Schizosaccharomyces pombe: one gene and its partner. The protein of the gene in region 1 binds, or shares a complex with, the protein of each later gene. Each region holds a gene or a part of one and is shown on either strand. Other genes may lie near its edges.

The links.
Region 2: spp27 (region 1) and rrn5 share a complex: the UniProt entries of both Schizosaccharomyces pombe proteins name them as parts of the UAF (upstream activation factor) complex.

The regions. Positions count from the first base shown.
Region 1 is NC_003421.2:1,829,983-1,837,681, reverse strand, and holds spp27 (RNA polymerase I upstream activation factor complex subunit Spp27), read right to left. Parts: upstream 5,700-7,699; coding exon 5,507-5,699; exon of another isoform or gene 5,435-5,506; coding exon 5,223-5,434; exon of another isoform or gene 5,090-5,222; coding exon 4,940-5,089; exon of another isoform or gene 4,886-4,939; intron 4,769-4,885; coding exon 4,622-4,768; 3' UTR 3,513-4,621; downstream 1-3,512. Other genes in the region: hel2 (ubiquitin-protein ligase E3), read right to left, coding at 768-2,671, 2,730-2,927, 2,973-3,069; msh6 (DNA mismatch repair protein), read left to right, coding at 6,001-6,594, 6,710-7,699. UniProt on the Schizosaccharomyces pombe protein: Component of the UAF (upstream activation factor) complex which interacts with the upstream element of the RNA polymerase I promoter and forms a stable preinitiation complex. UAF seems to stimulate basal transcription to a fully activated level.
Region 2 is NC_003424.3:5,120,732-5,134,849, reverse strand, and holds rrn5 (RNA polymerase I upstream activation factor complex subunit Rrn5), read left to right. Parts: upstream 1-3,018; 5' UTR 3,019-3,124; coding exon 3,125-4,795; 3' UTR 4,796-5,586; downstream 5,587-14,118. Other genes in the region: Prp19 complex subunit, ubiquitin-protein ligase E4 Prp19, read right to left, coding at 1-920, 1,406-1,510, 1,551-1,608; rRNA exonuclease Rrp17, read left to right, coding at 1,912-2,015, 2,056-2,161, 2,209-2,610; Rho-type GTPase-activating protein Rga3, read left to right, coding at 6,012-8,921; protein mug108, read right to left, coding at 9,618-10,070; SPOM_SPAC29A4.22 (uncharacterized protein), read right to left, coding at 10,237-10,458; urease accessory protein ure6, read left to right, coding at 13,270-13,977; pex3 (peroxin-3 peroxisome import protein), read right to left, coding at 13,974-14,118. UniProt on the Schizosaccharomyces pombe protein: Component of the UAF (upstream activation factor) complex which interacts with the upstream element of the RNA polymerase I promoter and forms a stable preinitiation complex. UAF seems to stimulate basal transcription to a fully activated level.

The DNA of each region.
Region 1 (7,699 bases):
ATTGAAACTTCAACGTTATTTGACTAAAACTTGTTAATTTACATGTCTGCAAGATTAATCCAGCATATTAAATAAATTAGTTGACTTATGTCAAACAAATAATACATTCTTGATATTATTAGAAAAAAAAAAGAAAATTGAATAACTTGTGAGAAATGATATTGTTATTATTTTAGATTATGTCCTTTGAAATACAATAACATGCTAAGGCACTTACTACTTAAGCCTTTATTACTTTAATGTGCTAACAATCTTCTGTATCCTTAGACGTTAAATTTTCCCTTATTAAAAAATAAAAAAATAAAAAAAAAATATAGGAAATGAAACAACCGCTGATGACTTATTCTGTCTTTTATGGCGATAATTTTCTGATCATTCACATGTGTTGAGATTTTTCGGAAATACTCTTCCATTACCTTTGATTTTAGCAAAATGGCTTGCTTAAAACAACAAATTTTTTTAATTAATCAAATTTATTTTAAATCTATTACTCGCTGCCGGTTGATATTATATCAAGCTAATTTTCATTTTATTTCTGAAAAAACATCCAAAATTAAAATCATTTTTCGCAGGAGCATTAGCGGAGGACCCTCAATGTAATGCTAATTTTTCCAAAACGACACTTTCTTTTATGAGGTCAGATAAACAACCCAACAGTCAGGTAAAAGGTATAAAGTGCTAGATTATAAATGAGTACATCCCAAAATTATTATATATTAACGAAATGCCCATCCATCAATAAAATTATTATATACAATAAACCAAAATCAACCAATGTGAAACAAAACAGTTTGCTTTTTTCCGTTTTTTTTCTTTGAAACACCCATCGTATTACTATTACGATTGGAAGAAGTATTTGGTGTAGACCCCCATGAATCAACGGGACGAGCCTGCTTTTTTCCGAGTTGAACAGAAATTCTCTTCGAGGTAGAAGGAGGAAGTGCGGGAAAATCTTCTTCAGATCTTGCATTTAACGCAGATGCACGTGCTTTGCGCACACCCCAAGAAGGAGTATTTGCAGCTGAGCTGTTCGTTGGCCTTGAGGTAATATTTGCTAGGTTTATAGAAGATGATGGAGCAGACAAAGAAGGCCCATCGTGAGCTGCTGCACGCTCAATACGATTCCAAACACTAGCTGTTTGAGCAGCAGTCCTATTTGATCTCTTCAAGCGCAAAAGATTAGAGTTAGTAGTACCTATACGAGTATCATCTTTCGCATTCAGTATTTTCCATTCCTGCCAAGCTTCCAACAATTCCCTTGACTTCTCTTTATTTTCTAGAAGATTTGCTATTTGGTTGAACACGCCCGACAATTGCTCATGAGGCTTTGCAACTAATTTTGTAATGCGAGCAACAGCTTCACGAGCGGGCATAACATTACCACGGAAGGAAGAAACAGCAAATTTAAAGTCATTAATTTTGTGATCATCGTAATTCGTCAATTTTTGCATCCGATCAATTACTTGTTGGTGTTGTGCTTGCTCGGAAGAGGCCATCGGGGATTTAGTGCCCTTGGGTGGAGATGGAACATGATTTCTTGAAGCAGACTTACCAGACAGACGAGGCGCGGAGACAGGTACTGAGGGTGCGGAAGAGCTATTTTGATTAGCAACCTCGGCTAAAGAGGGGAAATCTTCGTTTCTTAACGTTCTAGTTTTTCCTCTGCTGATGGTTCTAGTAGATGTCGCTGGGCGGGCAGATGTAGGCGCCGGATTTGATAACGTGAAACCAAAATCACGATGGCGAGCTTGTTGCTCGCGAACATATTCTTCTTGTCGTAAGTGAGCAATCTCTCCACGGGAAAGGTGTAGGTTAGAGAGTGAGTTGGCAGTCTCATTCACTGAAGTAGATTGTTCGGATGGTGTGGAAGAAGTTCGTTCACGACGGTTCCTGCCGGACGCGCCGGGTGGGTCGTAACTAAATTGAGGAATAATTCTTCGTGCTTCTCGAAGTTCGCGTTGAGTAAAGTTGTGGGGATGCTCATCCAACTGATGCGCTTTCAAATCTATTTCAGTTCCAAAAACAACAAATTTACGTTCCAAACACTCCCTTTCACGACAAATATAATGATCTTTTTCAAAGTGGCGCTCTAACGAATCATAATTTTTAAAGTACTGATGCGTCGGCCTTCCTGCAACTTGGTCACAGATGTAACATCGTTCATGTTTTTCACGGCAATGCTTAAACAACTCATCATCATCATAAAAATGGGTATTACAAAACTCACACTTCGGGTGACCCTTGAATCCAGTAATCTCTAAATCGGATCCCTGATCTCCAACTTCATTGTGCTTTGTCAATCCTTTCTTGGAAAATAGCGTGTGTTCATGGGTAAAAACCTTTTTGTTCTTAACACAAAGATCACAGAAAAACTTATGGTGTTTGACCTTCGCATGCAGCTTTAAATCAAACCAGCCTTTGCATGTGATATCGCAAGCGTCTTCTGGACAGTTGAATTGAAGCAAGAGGTTGGATTCTTCTTGAGCATGCTCGTCAGAATACACAATTCCAAGTTTCTCATCTTGGAAAGGAAGTTTTGCTAAATCGACATCATGAATATCGATTTCATGATCTTTAGTAATGAGAACCGTATCCCATTCGGTTTTACAAAACGTACATTCCTTCGTTTTGTATAGCGCTCGCAATCTCAAAGCACAAACATGACACATTCCTAATTAAGTTAGATTAAACATAGTTGTAACATTTTTAAAACATGATACAAGACATACGATGATTGCAAGGAAGGACGCAGCTGTAAGTAATACCTTCAGCACAAATGAAGCAAATTTGCTCATCCTCATCCTGTTCTTCTTTGGAAGCATCAACAGTAGCGACATTACTGACAGGATCTGTGCCAACCGGCTCTAAGCAAACTGCATTTTTTGGAGTTTCTACCGACCTAGAGCTTACCGGTTTCTCTTTACTTTCTTGAAATGTGTTAAAAGGAATATGTCAACAAGGAAGTTACGTACGATTCCTATTAGTTTTTTTATTATGAGTCCTAGAATTCTTTTTTTCCGATGCTCTGTTGTGCTCCTTATTATTTAAATTGGGGCCCGAAGGCGACATTTTGATTGTTTATAGAAGATTGCGTGTATGGCGCTGGGTAAATAAAATTTCGTAAAGCGAGCTGCTGTATGCTAAAAAAAACAGTTTAGCTGGAGACCTCTGAATTAGCTGGAATATCGCAAACTAAGAATATATTTATAATTTCAACATTATTGGAAAGTTTTTAAGCTTCTGAATTGATTTTTGAAACGTGCATCGAATATTTTGTTAGAAACGTATATAGCATTGAATGTACAGCGGAAGTAAATAGCAATCTCTTATAAAGGGCTTATATAATTTACTAATTTGTTTTGAAAAAAATATTCCCCTAACTTTTTCGCCATAATCTTTTTACTTTGTGCTTAAACAAGAAGTCGTGTATGTATGTAAGCAAGCGTTGTCCTGTCTACAAATAAATGCAATTGTTACAACTGTTAAATGTGGCTTCATCTAAAGTGTGATTGGATCTTTAGAAGTCGTAAACACCATGAAATGATTCAATCAATAATAAGTATATTCATTAAGGACTAATATAAAAGAGAAGAACACTTTCCACTCAGTCTAATCAATTTATAAGTCTTTTGACGGTTATAAGCAGCAATCTTCCAAAAAAAAAACGACCCACAAGCACACAAAAATGTTTATGTAAACATACTCTAACAAACGGATGACAGGTTTGCAACCCCAAAGAAAATCCCAAAATAAAATAATAAACAAATTAAAAAGACAGTACATTATTTGAGACTTAAAAGCATATATCCAGAAAACATCCATTTGCGTATAATTTAATATATACACTATAGACACAAGACGAGTACTAGTCATACAACCAAGCCATATCTTAGATCATCCAAAACTGTAAAGCAAACATCATATTATGGGTTTGTAATACGCAAGGGTAGTAAATAAAATTTATTATTGATGATATGGCTTCGACAGCTCCAAGCGACGGTGGTTTCGTAAACAAAATTCCCCGACAATGGGCTGAAGTGAATCATTTTTTATTTCAATGATATTATAGAGCAAAGCAGCGGTAAAATAATTAAAGGTGCGGTGAAGAAAGTGTTAATACAATACATGAAAATCTCCATCATGCACAACAGTTCATTTAGAAAAGAAAATCAATATGCTATATGAATTTATAAAAAAAAGCACAAAGATATCCATAAGGAATAGGTGATAAGAAATATTCGTAAAATCACAGTCAGTCTAACGTAAATTACCTCTTGTAGCAACCCAAGGTCTAAAGTCAGCAACCTGAACTTTTGTTTTCACACTGCATTTAAGATCAGAAAGTTGTAATGCAAAATACGATATCTGATTATGCGTGGAGACTCTCTAGACATACATAGCCTCTAGTATTAAAGCACGGATATGACATGGACATAGGCAAAATCTGTTGAGGAAAAACAGGTAAGCAAGCGAGTATTGAACGAAATAAACATTTATTGCATGCAATGAAAGCAAAAAACTTGAATGATTTTTGGAGACAAAAAAAAAAGGGATTATTGCAAGATATTATATGAAAAAAAGTTTTGGCTGTTTTATATGGTCATGCAGCAAACACAAAGGCTCAAGCGGTGGATTCGGCGGTAGGAGGCTCGACCAACTCTTTTTCCTCCTGCTTGGGAAGATCGTTCGGAGCCGCTGGTTCTTCATTTTTAGGCTGAGGTTTGGGCAATTGATCATCAGGAATCTTCGTCATGAGATTTGTTAAGTACTATTAATTAAGTTAGCTTAGCTTCGGCAGCAGGTAACAAAGAGCAATGCGGAATGTTTTCCACAAGTAACCAAATGAAAAAAGTAGACAAGGAAAGTTACAATCGACAAAGTAAAAGTTTGTTGACAAACCTCCTTAAAACAATTGTGAACCCATCCATGATTAACTTACCTTGTTCATGGTAAACATATGCAAAGTGTCGACTTCGAAAACGCTTTTCAATTTGTCATCACAAAGAATTGTTCGCTTGTCGTTGGGATCTTGTAAGTCATGTGCTTTTATATACTCCCATAACTTCTTCACAGTTTGGGGACGAGATAACTACGTTAGTTAGCAATCAGCAGAGAAAGCGTGCAAATAAACATTTAGTATGTAAGCCTGCCTCTTTTTTCAAAACAACAAGATTTTGAATGGAACGAGTAGGCACGGCTTCCACACTACAACACCGCCTTACCTGTTCAAGACCCAAAAATTCGGCCAACTTAGGGGACAACTTCATAGGCTTATTCAGAGGATTGTTGGCAGGATCTTGGTTCCTCTTGCGTTTTCCACCCTCTTCTCCATCTTCCTTGCGTTTTCGGGTTCTCTTTGCTGGTTTCTTGCCTTCTTCAGTGCCATTTTCCGTCGCTCTCTTACCCTTGGTTTTGCGAGCGGGTGCTTGTTTTTCTACAAGTTTGGTTAATTATTATTTCTTGCATTATTATTTGCAAATTTCTTCCAGCAATATTCTCATCTTACCTAAACTCTCCTTCTCTGAAGGTGCGGCGGTTTCATCAAAGCATTTCAAAATCAGCGCATTCAAGTCTTTTTTATGCGCACTCAAATCTACCTTTCTTCTTTCTTCTAAAAGTTGACGAACTTGCTTCGCAGATACAGTTTGGCGATCAACTGTACCGAGAATTTGCTTAATGTCTGTTTCGTACTCTTCCATCGTTCTAGTTCTTTATACTACCACCTTACTGTGTTGGTCAAAGTATGGTGTAGTGAGACGGTGGTAGTGGATATAGATTACGGTAAAGAAGGAAAGAGCGCTGGTGTAGCTAAATGCGATTTTGAAAAACACGCTATTTTTACAGATGTAAATACATAAAGCTTCAATTTAATTTCTTGTAAAACTAAAAATAATGGAAATTATATATGTTATTTTGTGCTCTCATGTTAGCTTTGTTTACTATTAGAATGCTGCTTTTTGTAAATAACTGAACTTAGCCAAAACCAACACTTGTTCCAGTATGAGCGTTGGGAACGTTGGCAAGCAAAGGGAGAAAACAAAAGATTCATCAGCTAAAACAAAGCAGAAAACCCTCTTTGGGTTTTTCTCCAAAATCCCGAATGTGAAACAAGAGAAGTCGGATTCTACATTATCTAGTAGTTCGAATCACGACTCTAATCATGATACGCCTGCTGATGTTGACAACAGCTCCAATGTGAACAAAAACTCTTCGTCTCCGGAACGCGAATTGCCAACGAGTCCTTCTCATCATGCGAATACCGAGATAGATTCCAGTTCATCTATGCTTCCTCCTCCATCAAGTGATCCATTTTCCTCACCGCTTTCTAGCAGCCTACACCGATCATCTCCTAAACGCCCTCATGATTCTTTGGGCGAGGAGTCACCAGGTAAATTGCTTCGCACGTCTGTGAAGCAAGAGCCCGACTCTGAAGAAGAAATCGATTCTCCGACGAAAAAGAAAAGTTTTAAAAGTTTGGATACATCAATATTTCAAGCTGAAGATCAATTTCGTCATCCTGTCTCGTCGAAGCTGGAAAATTCGGAATTATCTGAAGTCGACAAGCCTTTTATAGCTTCTCGGCGTTCAAGGAAGGTATGGGTAATTGAGTGATACATATTACTTTAGAAGAATAAAAGGGGAAATACGCACTTTACCCCTATATTAACCAGATTTTTGTTTTAATTAATTATGACTAACAATATGCTAGCCTGTTTCCTACGCTGAAAGTGATGAAGACGAAGACTTCGACGATGCACCTACCAAAGGATCTCGTCATAAAAGAATCGTTTCTGATGACGAATCGGATGACTACGTTGAGCCCGATCATATTTCGGAAGCCTCATCTGAGGCATCCTTGCCTATTGATGAAGTCGAATCTATGGATGAGGATGTTGATGGATATTCAGATCATTCCGTTTCTGTGGCTGCTCCAATTCCCAAAAAGGAATCTCGAAAGGAGAGTTCCAATTCTTTGTATGAAAGTTATCGGCTAGGCTCTCAAATTGCCAGTCCAAGCCCTTCGGTCTCGGGTTCTGCATCTCCCACAAAATCGAATAAAAACGGTGTCCTGAACAGAGAAGAAAAAAGAAGGCAAAGAATGGAGGCATTTAAAAAAGAAAACAACGAACGTTACGAGTGGTTGCTAGATGTTCGAGATGCTGATCAAAATCGAGTGGGTGATCCTAATTATGATCCGCGCACATTGTATATCCCACCTTCAGCTTGGGCAACTTTCAAGCCATTTGAGAAACAATTTTGGAAAATTAAAAAGGACCTTATGGATACAGTTGTTTTTTTTCAGAAGGGAAAATTTTATGAGTTATATGAGAATGATGCCGCTATCGGACATCAGGTATTTTCCTTAAAGTTAACTGATAGAGTTAATATGAAGATGGTTGGAATTCCTGAAGCAAGTTTTGATTACTGGGCATCTCAATTCATTGCAAAGGGGTATCGTATAGCTCGAGTCGACCAATTGGAAACCGCTTTAGGTAAAGAAATAAAAGATCGTCAACGAACTCAGAAGGAAGAAAAAGTAGTTCAGCGAGGCCTTACCCAAGTCTTAACGAGCGGGACCCTTGTTGACGAGGCAATGCTGACTTCTGACTTGTCAACATATTGTATGGCTATTAAAGAAAGTCTTCAATCTGACAACGAAGAGCCTTCTTTTGGTATCTGCTTCATTGATACCTCGACT
Region 2 (14,118 bases), on another chromosome or scaffold:
CTCAAAAAAGCGTAACTCGCCATTCTCTAACCCAGCGACAAAGAGGTTACCGTCCGGATGTACAGCAAGAGATGTAATGTGTTGAGCAACGGTGATATTATAAACCTGGGATTTCAGGGAGAAAATATAACACTTTTCGTTTGATGCTGCTAATAAATATTCCCCACTTGGATGAGCTTGAAGGAAGTTCACCTTTTCGTCTATAGGAATGGACGAAGTAGGTTCACCCACACTTTGTAAACCAGATGAGGAAACAGGAAATTCAAAAATTGAAATGGCATCAGCAGTAGCGACAGCAATCTTGGAAGAAGTCAACCAACAACACGCTAAAGCTGATCCTTCAAAAATTTTGAGAGTACTGTTGGATTGGATATCTAGACATAAAAGTTCATCCTTATGAAGACATAATACAAAAGAAGAATTTTCAGGGGACGGGAAGAAAGACGTAGTGCTTTCTGTTTCCAAATTTTCTAAGATAGTAGAAGGAGTAGCTTGCAAGAGCTGACTCACAGCATCGTCAGTCGCCCATTTAGGTTGTAACTTTGTACGTTTCCTTTTGGAAGAAAGTTCTTGAAATGTTTTTTCCACCGTAGAGCGTAAGCTAGTTTTAAGCTGGTCATCACTTTCGCCCATCTCTACCTCTTGTACTTCAATAGTTTTCGAGGAAACAGTGCCTATGTTATCGGAAAATTTCGCCAATGCTTCTCTAGCTTCGTCTCTTTCTTTGGTAAGCCGAGATATAACTCTTAACGCAGCATCTAGCGAATACAATGCCGTTGATAACTCCTGCTTCGTCTCTGTAAGATTTCTTCTAAGTTCAAATTGCTCAAGCGCGACAGAATCCCATTCTTCTTGAAAGAGAGACAGCAATGCAGGCAATGAAGTGGCAGAAGGAGGTCGAGGTCTAACAAAATCAGGTACTGTTTAAAGGTTAGCAATTATCTTCGATTTGATTCGCTTTATATGTGAATGGTCAGTACAATCAAAATATAGTAAATATAAATCGCATTGGAGAGCAAAAACCAAAAAAAATCTAAAGTATTAATACATTTTCCTCAACAACTCCACATTAATTTTGATAAAGATTTGTTTTGATAAATCCGACAAGGTTGTTCTATAATTCTCTAAAAACCTTCCTAATTTCTGCCCCGAGATATTGACATGCACTAAATAGTCCACTTTTTAAGGAGAAATATAAAGCTGTAAAATTAAAAAATTTCGAGTACAAATCAATCATGCAATAAAATACATTATCAACAAAAAAAAGAAAATAAACGAGTTCTTCAACCAATATTGCAGGGTTTTACTTTCCAAACCAATTTCAGAATATTCAGTACTCCACGTATAAAAAAATAAGTGCTACTTGAAATTCTTAACCATTCAATAATAAAGAAGGAAATCTTACCCTTTACAGGAACCAAGTCCTCCAACGTGCATTCCTGTTGAGTAACAGGGTCTTTAGACGTTTCACGAATAACTTGTTCAATCAAGCGCTTCTCGTAAACATTTCCTACATTCAGTCAGACAGGGAAATTATTGTACAAACATACCACTTACACGAGAAATCACCGGTTCTTTTGGCGTTTCTCCACTGATTGAGCAAAACATTCGGCACACGTTGGTTTCTGTGTGTAATAGCTAGAGGAAAGCAATGCATAGCCAACTAATCGTTTACTGCACTATACCAATATCCGTATATAATATAAGGCAAATGCGATGCATTTTGCAAATAATTTTCTAGTTAGTAGTGCAAATGTACGTACAAGGCATAGTAGGGTTTCAGTACCTCTCGTCTTCATAAATCTACTGGACCATTACGAGACTGGATAGAATTGGAGATAATTTACTTAAAATCACTACAGATTCCCATAAATTGTCCCTCTCTTCTAGCTACTCACGAACTGTTGCATCATGGATAATACATCTCTACTAACCCGTGGAGGTGAGATTTACAGCAGGAAGAAAGGGAAGAAGCAAAGATTGGAGGAGATCGTCTTTGATAAAGAGAAGCGAAAGTATGGATATCATAAAGGGATTGCTACTAACTTGTTACAGAGAGTATTTAACTGGATTTCATAAACGCAAAGTTGAACGACGAAAGCATGCTCAAGTTCAATTGGAGCAGCAAAAACGCGAAGAACGTTTAGCGTTGAGGAAATCTGTAAGTTTTTCTAATACTATCTTGAGTATATCACTAACACTATTCAGCTCAGAGAACAGCGCAAAAGAGAACTGGCTGAGCGATTAGCATTCTCTAAAGAGTTGAATAGCTCGCTAGAAAATGATGAAGAATCTTCACAGCAAGAAGATTCCTCATCTAAATCTGACAGCGAGGAAGAGTCATCAATGGAGCCTAAAACTACTGAGTATGACGAAGATGATAAGCATGTTACGGTAGAAATTGTAGAGGACGATGATGATGAAGAAATTGCTTATCCTAAAGAAGGTTTTGTCACGCCTCGTATTTCTCCTCCACCAGATGTTCCTTTGCGTCCCCACAAGCCTAAAAATGCCGCCAAAAAGAAATTTCGGTATGAGAGCAAATTTGAACGTACACAGGACAGAAGAAAAGAAAAAATACGTCGTTTAAAGAAGAAAATAAGACGTTAAATTAGGAACTTCAAGCACACGTTGTTTGACGCATCTTGCCCTTTTTTTATATTTATGAATATGGTTGGTATAAAATGATATTTGAATTCAATTGTCCATTCGTTTTTCAGGTTGAGAATTTTTGGAAGTTAACAAACTACTTTACAAGAGATCATTACATATACGGAGTTTTTCTTGGTCTGATATATGCATTTCAGCCTTTTTCAATTTTTTGTTCACAGTTTTGATTAAGGTGTTTGTACATGCGCAAAAAATTTGTACTCAATAAGCGGTAAGCTAGATTTTAGCACGATTTATATTTTTTTATTATGTTTAAAACCCGTAAATTTTAGAGATACTCTACATTTATATATTCCTTTGGATTTTAGTATATTAGCGAAATTCACTAGAATACCGAGTTTGATCTTTGTCAGAACACAAACCACGTCTGGTAATGTGGTAAACAAAAAAATATTAAAAAGAAGACTGCAACAGCTTTTATTTCATTAGCGTTGATCATGTTCTCAATAATAACATGTCTTCTTCAATAAACGGATTAAATGAGAGTGAAGGGTCAACGCCTTTAAGCACTGCATCTATCATTGGCTCAAGTGAGCAATTGTACATGACTCATGATGAACGATACCTAGACGTCCTTCAACAATACGAAGTTGAGACTGAAAATAAGCGTGACTTTGATTTGGAAGAAGAACAATGGGGCGTTCTTAGTGGCTCTTGTGTGGATGGAACTTACTGGAGTGCAGAAGAAAAAGAACTGTTTTTTCAAGCGGTTGCTCGAAATGGGAAAAGAGATTTAGATTTGATAGCTTACTCCATTCCTTCTAAAAGCGCTGTGCAGATCGAGCGTTACATAAATGCCTTAGAGAATGAGCTACGTTGGCTTCGTAATCACGTAGACGCATCCGTGCGCAGTCAATGTTTGTTGAAATATGAAGATATACCTATTGCAATGGAAATGAGTCAGAATTGGATTGATTGGGAAGAAAAAATTGCGGAAAGACTTCTTGAGGGTTCGAATATCTCAGGGGTTGAAACTTCACACTATAATGCGCAAAGTGTCAAAAACAAAACCTCAAATGAGGATTTATTTGATACAAATGAGATGAGAAAGATTTCTGAACGGTTTTATCATTTCGATCGACAAGCGCCTTTTCCAAGCAATCCACTTTCTGCTGGCGCTACGGAGTTTTTATTACAAATCATTAAAAGCAAGTTGAAGGAATTAATCGGAACATCTATATTTTTGGCGGAGTCTAGGTTTAGGAAACTAGAGGCTAACAATGCCTTTCATAGAAAACCTATTATCAAGAATAGAGACGTTGTTCTGTCAGGCAAATTTTTACGATTTCACCGATTCAATATACCCGGATTTTGGAAGTATTTACCCACTAGACAAAAGATGAATGTTTACAAAAGAAACAAACGTCTCAAATTTCAAAATTATATACACATAATGGAATCTGATGAAAGACAATCAAAACTGAAATTAGGACGAGTCAGAGCACGGAAGACAAAAAATAACGAAAACACCATGTTTTTTGATTCTAAGGAACATTCGACAGATGAAAGCGATGGTAACCTTGGAGAACATGATGTAAAGCGCAAGGTAGATTCTGTACCCGCCGATGAGACTAGCATCAATGGTTTTAAGAAATCTGTTAATCAGGCTGAGTATCCTGATAATGCTCAAATGTTCATGGATGAAAGTGTCGCAGAAGAAAGTCTTGTGGAAATTGATGACAGCGTCGAAGCCTACGACATGATTCAATCCAAAAACTACGAAAGCTTTGTTTGGAAATATGTGCTGCATTTAACCGATGAGATGTCGACAGAGGACGCTCTTTTTGAAACTATACCACTTAGTAATTTGCTGGCTCAAAAGCGAATGAAAGACAAGTTAAAAGGTTCCGACGTGTTTACGACTCTTAAAATAACTTCCAAGAGCTTGCACAACATTGACGAACATTCCGATAGTGATGATGAAGTTCAACCTATATGTTATTATTACAAGGATCCAGTTGTTTCCCATGCCCCGGGTGCAGCTGAAGTCGTATCTGAACTTGAAAGCGGATATGTAGGGTTAATATCCTATGATTTGTCTAATCTTCCAAATAGTACAGAAGATCCTGAAAGGAAACTTGCAAAACCTGTCTCTTCTTGGGAGTTGTCACTCCCTTTAAAATAGATGTCTTCATTTTCGAACTACAGTCTTGAAGCCTTTACAAAAACATAAATTGTTTTTTAGCGCTGCCTCTGTGTTGGATAGCAATCCTTTCTTTTTATCGTCATTTTCTGCCAAGTTTGTTTTTTCCTAGAAAGAAAATTTAATACTTCCTCTTTATAGCAATCAGTTATTGCCATTTATAATGATGAGTCCCAGTGTTCACAATATTCTGAAACTTTTTTTGTTAAAAACTGATTGCTTTCTTCCGTATAATTGTCCCAATATTCGCACCACAACTATAAAAATTTTTTTTAGGAGCCTTTACTTCCTTCTTAAAAGCAATAGTTACTTAATCAATTATAGCGACCCCGCTATTTGAGATACACATTTTATAAATTCTACACTTTTTGGAAACGAGCATTTTCTCTTGTCCCTTTATTTGACGATCCGACCGTTCACGCTACAAACGTCTACAAAATTTTTTTCTCTAGAAAGCATCTCTCCTTCTGTTTACTCCTGTTGCTACCGAAATTTTTTCTTTTTTTTTGTCCTCTGTGTTTTTTGATCAGGAATGTATATATCTTTAACCATTTTTTAGCGGGTTTTTTCTAAAGGTAAAGCTATTTAAGCCAGAAAAACAGTTCATTTTCCTTTTTCCTTCTAATTTCGGCAATTTCCCTTTTCACAAATATCACCATTTTTGAGTGGAAAGAAAAGCCTAGAGAGCGGAAACGCTGCCAAACCCATTAAAATTAATTATCTGTAATATTATAATCGTATTTAATAGCTATTCATAACACCCGTTTCGTCTAAACTCCCGTAATAAACCATGTGACTTTTGGCAATTTTACGCACCATATCGTAGAACACGGCGATAATTTCCATAGTGTTTCGCTAGGCTAGGGCAAGGCAAGCCAAAGACCATAGTGCCATGTGTACGACGCATGCAAATTTTAAGGGATTAGAGTGAACGACTCGCTACTGCCGTTCTCACCGCTCCACTGGGCAATGATGCCAACAACTGCAGTAATAATTATTCCTTAGCCATTTACCAATTGTTTCGAACTTCAATCATAAAATTGGGAATATTTTCATTTACTTGATGGGAAGCTGAGGAATGAAAATAGGTACCCAAAGGAATCGTTGTGAAAATAAAAATCAACAAAGCCAAATTCATGACGCTAGATTGAAGTTCATAACGTTTAGCAGGAAATAAGAAGAGCATATATACGATAAGATGATATTTCGAAAAAGTATTTCCAAATCTCCATCAAGCAAGGGAAGCACAGTATGCTTTCGCTGCGGACAGGCATTTCAACGTAGAGAGACACCTATTTCGTTTGGGGGTCATATGTGGCATAAGGATTGCTTCTGCTGTACGAAGTGCGATAAAGGATTGGAGCACAGTGATCAAATGCTGGTGCAAACCTCTGATGGACGACCGGTGTGTAGCTCTTGCGCCCATACCTGTACAGCGTGTCGTATGAGGATCAAGGACTATGCCCTAATGTCAGGCTACGACTCCTATCACAGAGAGTGTTTTCGTTGCCATGATTGCCGAAAGCAAATAATTGACTCTAACTTTAAAAGAGATAATAGGACTATATTTTGTAATGATTGTAAACAAGTCCGTCACCCTTCCAGGTCTTCAGACGAGAGCGCTGATTATCACAATTTTGAGGTTGATGTCACGATTAAGCCCACAGAGACAAAGTCTTCAGTGGAATCTAATAAGTCTTTAAGCATTGAAATTATGTCTCCTCAAAAGCCACCATTATCACCTTTTGGTGGAAGCAGAGACCGCTTAGTTAGCGAAACACCGACTAACATGAGTCAGGCAGAAGGGGGTAATGTGCCGAACGATGGACAGGATAGTAATCTTGCGTCTAATTCTGCAGATTCGCTGCTGCCTAGTGCCAAAAATCGAAGTTTTTCCTCGTTTACGAGTTTTGAATCGCCGATGAAGTATGACGATTCTTTCTTTCCTATTTCACCTTCTATATCTCCGTTACAAAAAGTTAACAAGCAGCAACAAATTGAGTCTCCTACAGCCACATTTCCGTTAAGCAAAAATACTTGGAAGAATCGATTCCATACGTTTCACAAACAATCTTTTACTCCTGTTAACGATAGCTCTTCCTCGGACAGCTTAAAACCCACAATTAATGAGGAAGCCCTGGACGACTTTGCTGGCTCTGCTTCTCCTTATAAAACCATGTCATTGACTGACCGAGCAGAGCCAATTGTCATGAATGGACATATGCGTTCTCTTCACAATGCCACCTCTCCCTTTCGGCCTTTTTCTCCCTCTTACAGGTCGAGTGATACGCATTCACCGAGAACCCGCTCACCGAATGTCCAAACCCATAAAAAAACCTCTTCTCAGCCATCTGACCTTTCATCTTTTGCGCAGCTACTTTCACCGCCTCAGGTTCTTTCTCCCAAACCAAATGGCGGGGGCCATAAAAGTTTTCGGCATTCGCATTCTCTTTCTGAGACTTCTCAGCAAACACTCGTTCCTTCGCTGGGATCTAATGGAGAGTACCATTTACCGACAAACGATCATTCTTCAACTCCAGCACAATCAGAGCGAGATTCGGATGTTGAAGAATTGCGTGAACAGTTGGAAAATCTTACTGCTCTTACCAAAAAATTGTCCGAAAGGCTCTCAAGTTCTACGTTTGACAACTCTAAGTTTATTCGTACGGAAGATAAGGATACTGTTCGTTCGGCTAAACTTGAAATTTGTGAAAAGTTTTTTTCGTTTGCTGATGTGACAGATGATCCCACGCTGAAAGATCCGAAACATCAGGATTTGGTGGCTGCCGCCAATGCTTACATGGCAATGCTTCGTGAGAGTTACGGCACTGAAATAAACAATCTTTTGGAAAGGAGAAATGAGCTGCTTGACGATTACAATAATGTACAAAAAATTTTAAATGAATCGCTTGAAGCATCTGTACACCTAAATACCAAAAATCTCGAGTTGGCCGACTTAAACAACAATTTGGTAAAACAAATTCAGCATAGAGTACCTCCTGAAAACCAATCCAATTTGGAGCATACTATTACCACATCTTCCAAAAATACAACCAGCAGTATTAATCCACTTACTGCCGTGAGTAGCAACTCTGGGCAGTCATCAGGTCGACCTGGTCCGTTGTCACCAAATTTGAATGTGACTACGAGAATTGACATTAAGGGAAAAAAGGGAAGTATGCATTTGCAACCAAGAGATGTAAACCGTAAAGTCCCGTTCAAATCAATGCATACTAAATCAAAGTCTGCCGATCCTGTAGTAGGAAATGAAGATCGTACTCAATGTGACCATGTGTTTCATGTTAATGCCATATTCAAGCCCTCAAGGTGTTATATATGCTCGGAGAGCGTATGGGGATCTGAACTCCGCTGCTTTCATTGCTCAATTTCATGCCATTCGCGGTGTTTAAAAAGGCTGTTTGCAGAGTCGGAGCATGAGAAAACAATGAGTGAAACTGTAAGTGAAAATAGTAAATGGATGCCGGAAATGCCAACGAGGATGCCTCCTCCTGGGCCTTCACCAACGATGTTTGGACGATCGTTAGAAAATCAATTGAAAATTGAAGGGTCGGTTTTGCCTCAAGTAATTGCTATGTGCGTTTCTTGCGTGGATGCGCATGGATTGGAGGTTGAAGGTATTTATAGGATATCTGGCAGTGCTTCTCAGGTCCGAGTGTTAGTCGACGAATTTGAAAACGGGTCTATCCGAATGGAGCATTTGACTTCTGACTTGTTTGCCTGTACGTCGGTTTTGAAAACATATTTGCATCGCTTACCGGAACCAGTTATACCTGGCACTCAATACGAGGAGTTGTTGGAAGCGGAAAAAATCGAAAAGGAAGAGGAAAAAATTGAACGGGTAGTGGAAGTAATGAAAACGCTTCATCCTGCACATTTGAGCGTATTTCGATTTTTGATTGCACATTTGGGTCGTGTATGCAAGCACGCGGAGAAAAATTTGATGAACTCGAAAAATGTCTCTACAGTATTTGCACCTACTTTAATGCGAGATAAGGTGAATCGGTTTGATTTACAGCATGCTACCAAAAAGAGTACGGCTCTTCAGTTTATGCTTGATAACGTGGATAAGATTCTTCATAATCTGTAGCTTGTTTTATGAATAATGATTAAAATATCGGGGAACTTGTATTTTTCTAGGGAAGAAGGAACTTTACGATAATAATAACCACTTGTGTTCCAAACTTCAATAAGGAATACTTTTCGAAGAAATAATGAGACTTTTTTTACACCTCTTTTTTTTAATGAAAAAAGGAAAACAAAGATATTAGCATAACACTCTTACATTTACGACTGAACTATTCAAACTGGGTAATACAGGATGTACATTATGACAAGCAGGCAAGCACACGCACGCTCATCAGATACAAATAAATACGCACGCAAATGGAGATTGTATAAAGATATTTGCCATTAAGCATTGCGAGATGCAAAATAAGGAAAATATAATGCTAATTTGATAAAAAAAAAAGAAAACAAACTCTTTTTAACGATACTAAACAGAACTCAACTCGATTTGGTTCGAGTATTTCGTTTCTCATAACTTGAACATAAACACAACATAAACAACTCATCAAAGACACATACATACACAAACACTACGGTCGTGCCATCATGTCTCGAAATCTCAAAGAATGGTATGGGGAACATGGTGAGGGATGAATGGCAGTGAACGTGAAAGGGGATGGATGGCATAATTAAATGTAATCTGCAACATTGTCAGTCAGGGTATGACTAATCAAAAAATAAAAATTACAAGGGAGTAAGAAAAAAAAAACAAAAGCAATCAAATAGTACTACCTAAAAGGCTTATATCCCTATCAAGATAAGGATCGTTTTGCTCTTCCTCATCAAGTTGTTCCTCGTTATTGTTTGCATTTTTCTTTTGTGTTCCATTAGCGCTCTTGGAGCGTGATTTCTTTCCTCCAAAGATGCTGCCAAGACCGCCAAGAGACGAGAAATTAACACGGCCAGTATGTTGACTGGAACGGTTGCGAGTAGACTCGGACCTGGAGTCATCGTCGCCGATATCTTCCTGAGTGGCATGGTAGCTGGAGCTCTCCATGTCATCCTCCTCTTCCTGGACCAAAGGTCCGGCCTCTGGATATTCATTCATGTATTCGTTGAATGAATGAACGCCCATCGAAGGATGGCGTTGTCTACCGGAGAAGGAGTGTTTGTCAACATGATGACCATGGGTTTCTTGAGTTTGATCACTAGAAGTAAAACGATTTGCCATTGCGGTGGATTTGAAGAAATTCGATTAGTCAATTAGTATTGGATGAAATTCAATTTCAAATTGATTTGGATTTGGATTGGATTGGACTGTCAATAACAATTTTCAACTCAATTGGTTATTGTTTGTTTTGTTATTGTTGTTGTTAGATTGTCAGTGGGTGGGTAATTTAGCTTGACTCGCTGATGATCAATAAGGGTGGATATGAATACGATTCGGTATTTGTTATTACGAAGGATGAAATATATATGTACTGTATTTTGGGAATGGAATTTTCACTCTTAGTGCCCAACCTTCTATTTATCTCCTTGCTGTGGCCAAATGTCATACGTATTGGGTTGCTACATTGAATGTAAGTGTGCCTTACTCGTCCTTTCACCCGCAACTCCATTGTTATCCAGCATCGTCATCCACTGCAATCGTGGCGCCAACCTCTTCACTTCCACCACCCATATAGCATATTTCCGTGAGTGTGTACCTCGGCGAGATCCGTTAAGTGGGTTTACGAAACAGGCCAAGAGGAGGAGGAGGGTTTGGTGATAATGCAATGGAGCACACAAGTAAGCAGGACGAAGTATGATTGATGGATGGATGAAGGAAAAGAAGAGAAAATGGCAGGTTGGTTTAGAAGAGGCTGTTCATCCCGTGGTATCGCAGTCTCAAGTATGGCACGGAAAACAAGCGTCGTTTTAATTGTCCAGGAGAAAAACAAAAAGGAAACAAGACTTTAGAGGGTCAGTCTTTTTTTTATGTCTTTTCTATTTTTGCTTTATGTTGTTGTTTTATATTCTTTCTTTCTTTTTTCTGCCTTCTTGACAATTAATTGATTTCCGCGGCAAGCTTAGTCAGTCTATAATACGGTGTTGTGCATCAGAGATGTTATGGCATTGCGTCATGATCGACACCCTTCCTAATCCCTTTTTTCTCCGCCTTCGCTTCCCCACACTTGGAGTCACAAGGCTGAGTCGATGCTACCTGAAAAGATGGGGTAATGGCATGACGAAAAAGACTGCAGGAAGAGAGGGGTGGGTGAAAGAAAGGGATTCAAACGAGACATCAATAATGGATGGAAGAAATAAAAACATAAAAGAAAAAAGAAAAAAAAAAGAAAGAAAAAGTTAAAGAAGATGAAAATTTTTGTTTGTTTGTCTCAGAACTAAAGTTTTTTTTGCTCAATTTTCTGTTCAATTTCTTTGATTCGCATTTTGTTTTGTTCCACTTTTTCTTTTTTTTTTGTCTTTGTTCCACCATTGGTTTTCTTTATCCATCTCTGTCCATTGTTGGTAATCTTGCTTTATGATTATAGGAGTCCTTTGTTTTCTCTCTCTCTTTTTTTTTTTATTTCTTTGTATGAATTGCCTTTTTTTTGACTAGCGTTCTTTGTCATACATGTCATCTTGAAATAGATGGTTTTGATTGTTTCTTGTTTTCAATAACTTTTTTTTTTTTTTTTCTGCTCTCTTTCTCTTTTCATTTTTTTTTTGGTCAGCGTGAGATACTGGCTTTCATTGAGCTACAATAAATAGTTTTGACTTTTTATTTCTATTTCTATTTCTTCTTTATTTTCCTGCTGTCTTTCTCTTCTCGCATACACAAAAGAGACTCAAACATACACACACACATACTCGGAGAGTTTCTCTCTCTCTCTCTCTCTTTTTTTTAGAGTTTCCTTTTTGCTCACTTGTTTTTCTTTGATCGTCGTTCTTTACGACATCTTTGTATTATAACGAAAATAACCTTTATTTGGACTTTCTTTTTATTCACTGTGGATGAGCTCACTGTGTTGTTCCATGCACAAATTTGTCACTTTCCATGTGAATTTTTCGTGGGGTTGTTGTAAACATTCATGAATTCCTTCGTTTGCTTTTTTTTTAAACAATTTTTAATTTTTATTTACTGTTTCTAATGCTGACATTTATTTGCCTTTTTTATTTCATTGCAAAACATTATATATGTATTCATAGTAAAAACTGAAGTGAAAGTCTATTACAGTCATTTAAATAGATTAGCTCATCTGTATTAAAATTAATAAAAGCATTGCAATTTATATTATAAAGTATGCTTAAAGCATTGTCTCGTGAGAAAGTCCAGTAGGAATTACTTAATTGAGCAGCGCCTTTTCTACTTTACTTTGTATACTATATGTTATTGTTTTACAGTTATCAAAACTTGCTTTTCCTTTCCTGAAATAACTGAGGTCAGTAAATTTAATGCTTCCAAACATCTTCCTTTGTATCCTCTTTTCAGTACATTCATTTATGAAGAAAGTTGTAATTACTGCAGTAAAAGGTGTTTCCCAAATTACAATTCCCACACTCGTGCTTTATTTTGCTAATTCACTTAGCACTCATACTTAGAAATCGTTATTTTGAAAGTACCATTGTAGAACTTAATAACACCACTATAATGGACTATCTAAACGTTGTGTAATTTTTACATTCGTTCGTCCTATGTTCAGTAAAAAATCTTTGCATCATTGACTTGGAAAATGAAAAGCTCATCCATGCTTCTCTTCCCTTTCTCATAGACTCTTGTTTGCCCTTTCCATTATTTTTAAATGTTTATTTATTAAATAGTGATCACTAGTGAATGTCAATAATAAGGAGTTGCATGATTTTCATCCCTATATTGTTTCCAGTAACGATGGATTGATTGTATACTGCAGGTGCAGGATCTTTGATGATAAGAAGAAACTGGATCTGCATGAGTGCAAAAATTTTTCTCTGCTTAGTCCTTCATTTGACCATACACACGATTCATATTTAATATTTAACCACCTCTTGTCGTTCATTTTGCATTTTCTTTTCTACGATACCTTTTCTCGTATTTTACAAATTATCATCCAAATACCAGGCGGTTAAAAACCGTTTTCTCAACCTTTTGATGCTGTATAGACATACCAAAAAATAGCGTTCCATCATTTTTTATTCTTGTCGCACCGTTTCGTTGAGTTGTAGGCTCGATAATTACTGAGAGAATCGGGTTTAAAAGTTTACTTTCACAACTTCCTAAACTCCTCTTTTCTTCTCTTTTTTTGAATACTAAAAAGCGTTTTATATACTAGATATGCACACACATTTCGCAAAAGTAAACACCCAGGGATAGCTTTTTTTTCTATTCTCCAAAACACTTAGATCCAACCTTACTACTACTGATTATAGTTGGTGGTTTTTTGTTTTCACTTTCTAATTTCATTACAATCATGACTGATTCGCAAACGGAAACACACTTGTCGCTAATTCTTTCAGACACTGCGTTTCCTCTGTCATCTTTTTCTTATTCGTATGGGTTAGAGTCGTATTTGTCTCATCAGCAGGTGAGAGACGTCAATGCATTTTTCAACTTTTTACCATTGTCCCTCAATTCAGTGCTACATACCAATTTGCCAACTGTCAAAGCAGCTTGGGAGTCACCGCAACAATATTCCGAAATCGAAGACTTTTTTGAAAGCACACAGACATGCACAATTGCCCAAAAGGTCTCCACCATGCAGGGTAAATCTTTGTTAAATATTTGGACAAAATCACTCTCCTTTTTCGTTACATCAACCGATGTCTTCAAATACTTGGATGAGTACGAAAGAAGAGTTCGTAGTAAAAAGGCACTCGGTCATTTCCCAGTGGTTTGGGGTGTGGTATGTAGAGCCTTGGGATTATCGTTAGAAAGGACATGTTATCTGTTCTTATTGGGGCATGCAAAATCGATTTGCTCAGCAGCTGTTCGCTTAGATGTTTTGACCTCCTTCCAGTACGTTTCCACTTTGGCTCATCCTCAAACCGAAAGTTTACTTAGAGATTCGTCGCAACTAGCTTTGAACATGCAACTAGAGGACACTGCTCAGTCATGGTATACGCTGGACCTTTGGCAGGGTAGACACAGTTTGTTATATAGTAGAATATTTAATAGTTAACAATCATCAAAACTGGAAAATACGATTGCCATGTAGCGATTTACATCTGAAACCATTTGTAGAGATTGAAAAAATTGCTCTTGGAAGGGTGCTTCGAATACGTTTTCGGAAATTTTAGTAAACGTCGTCAAAATTTTTGCC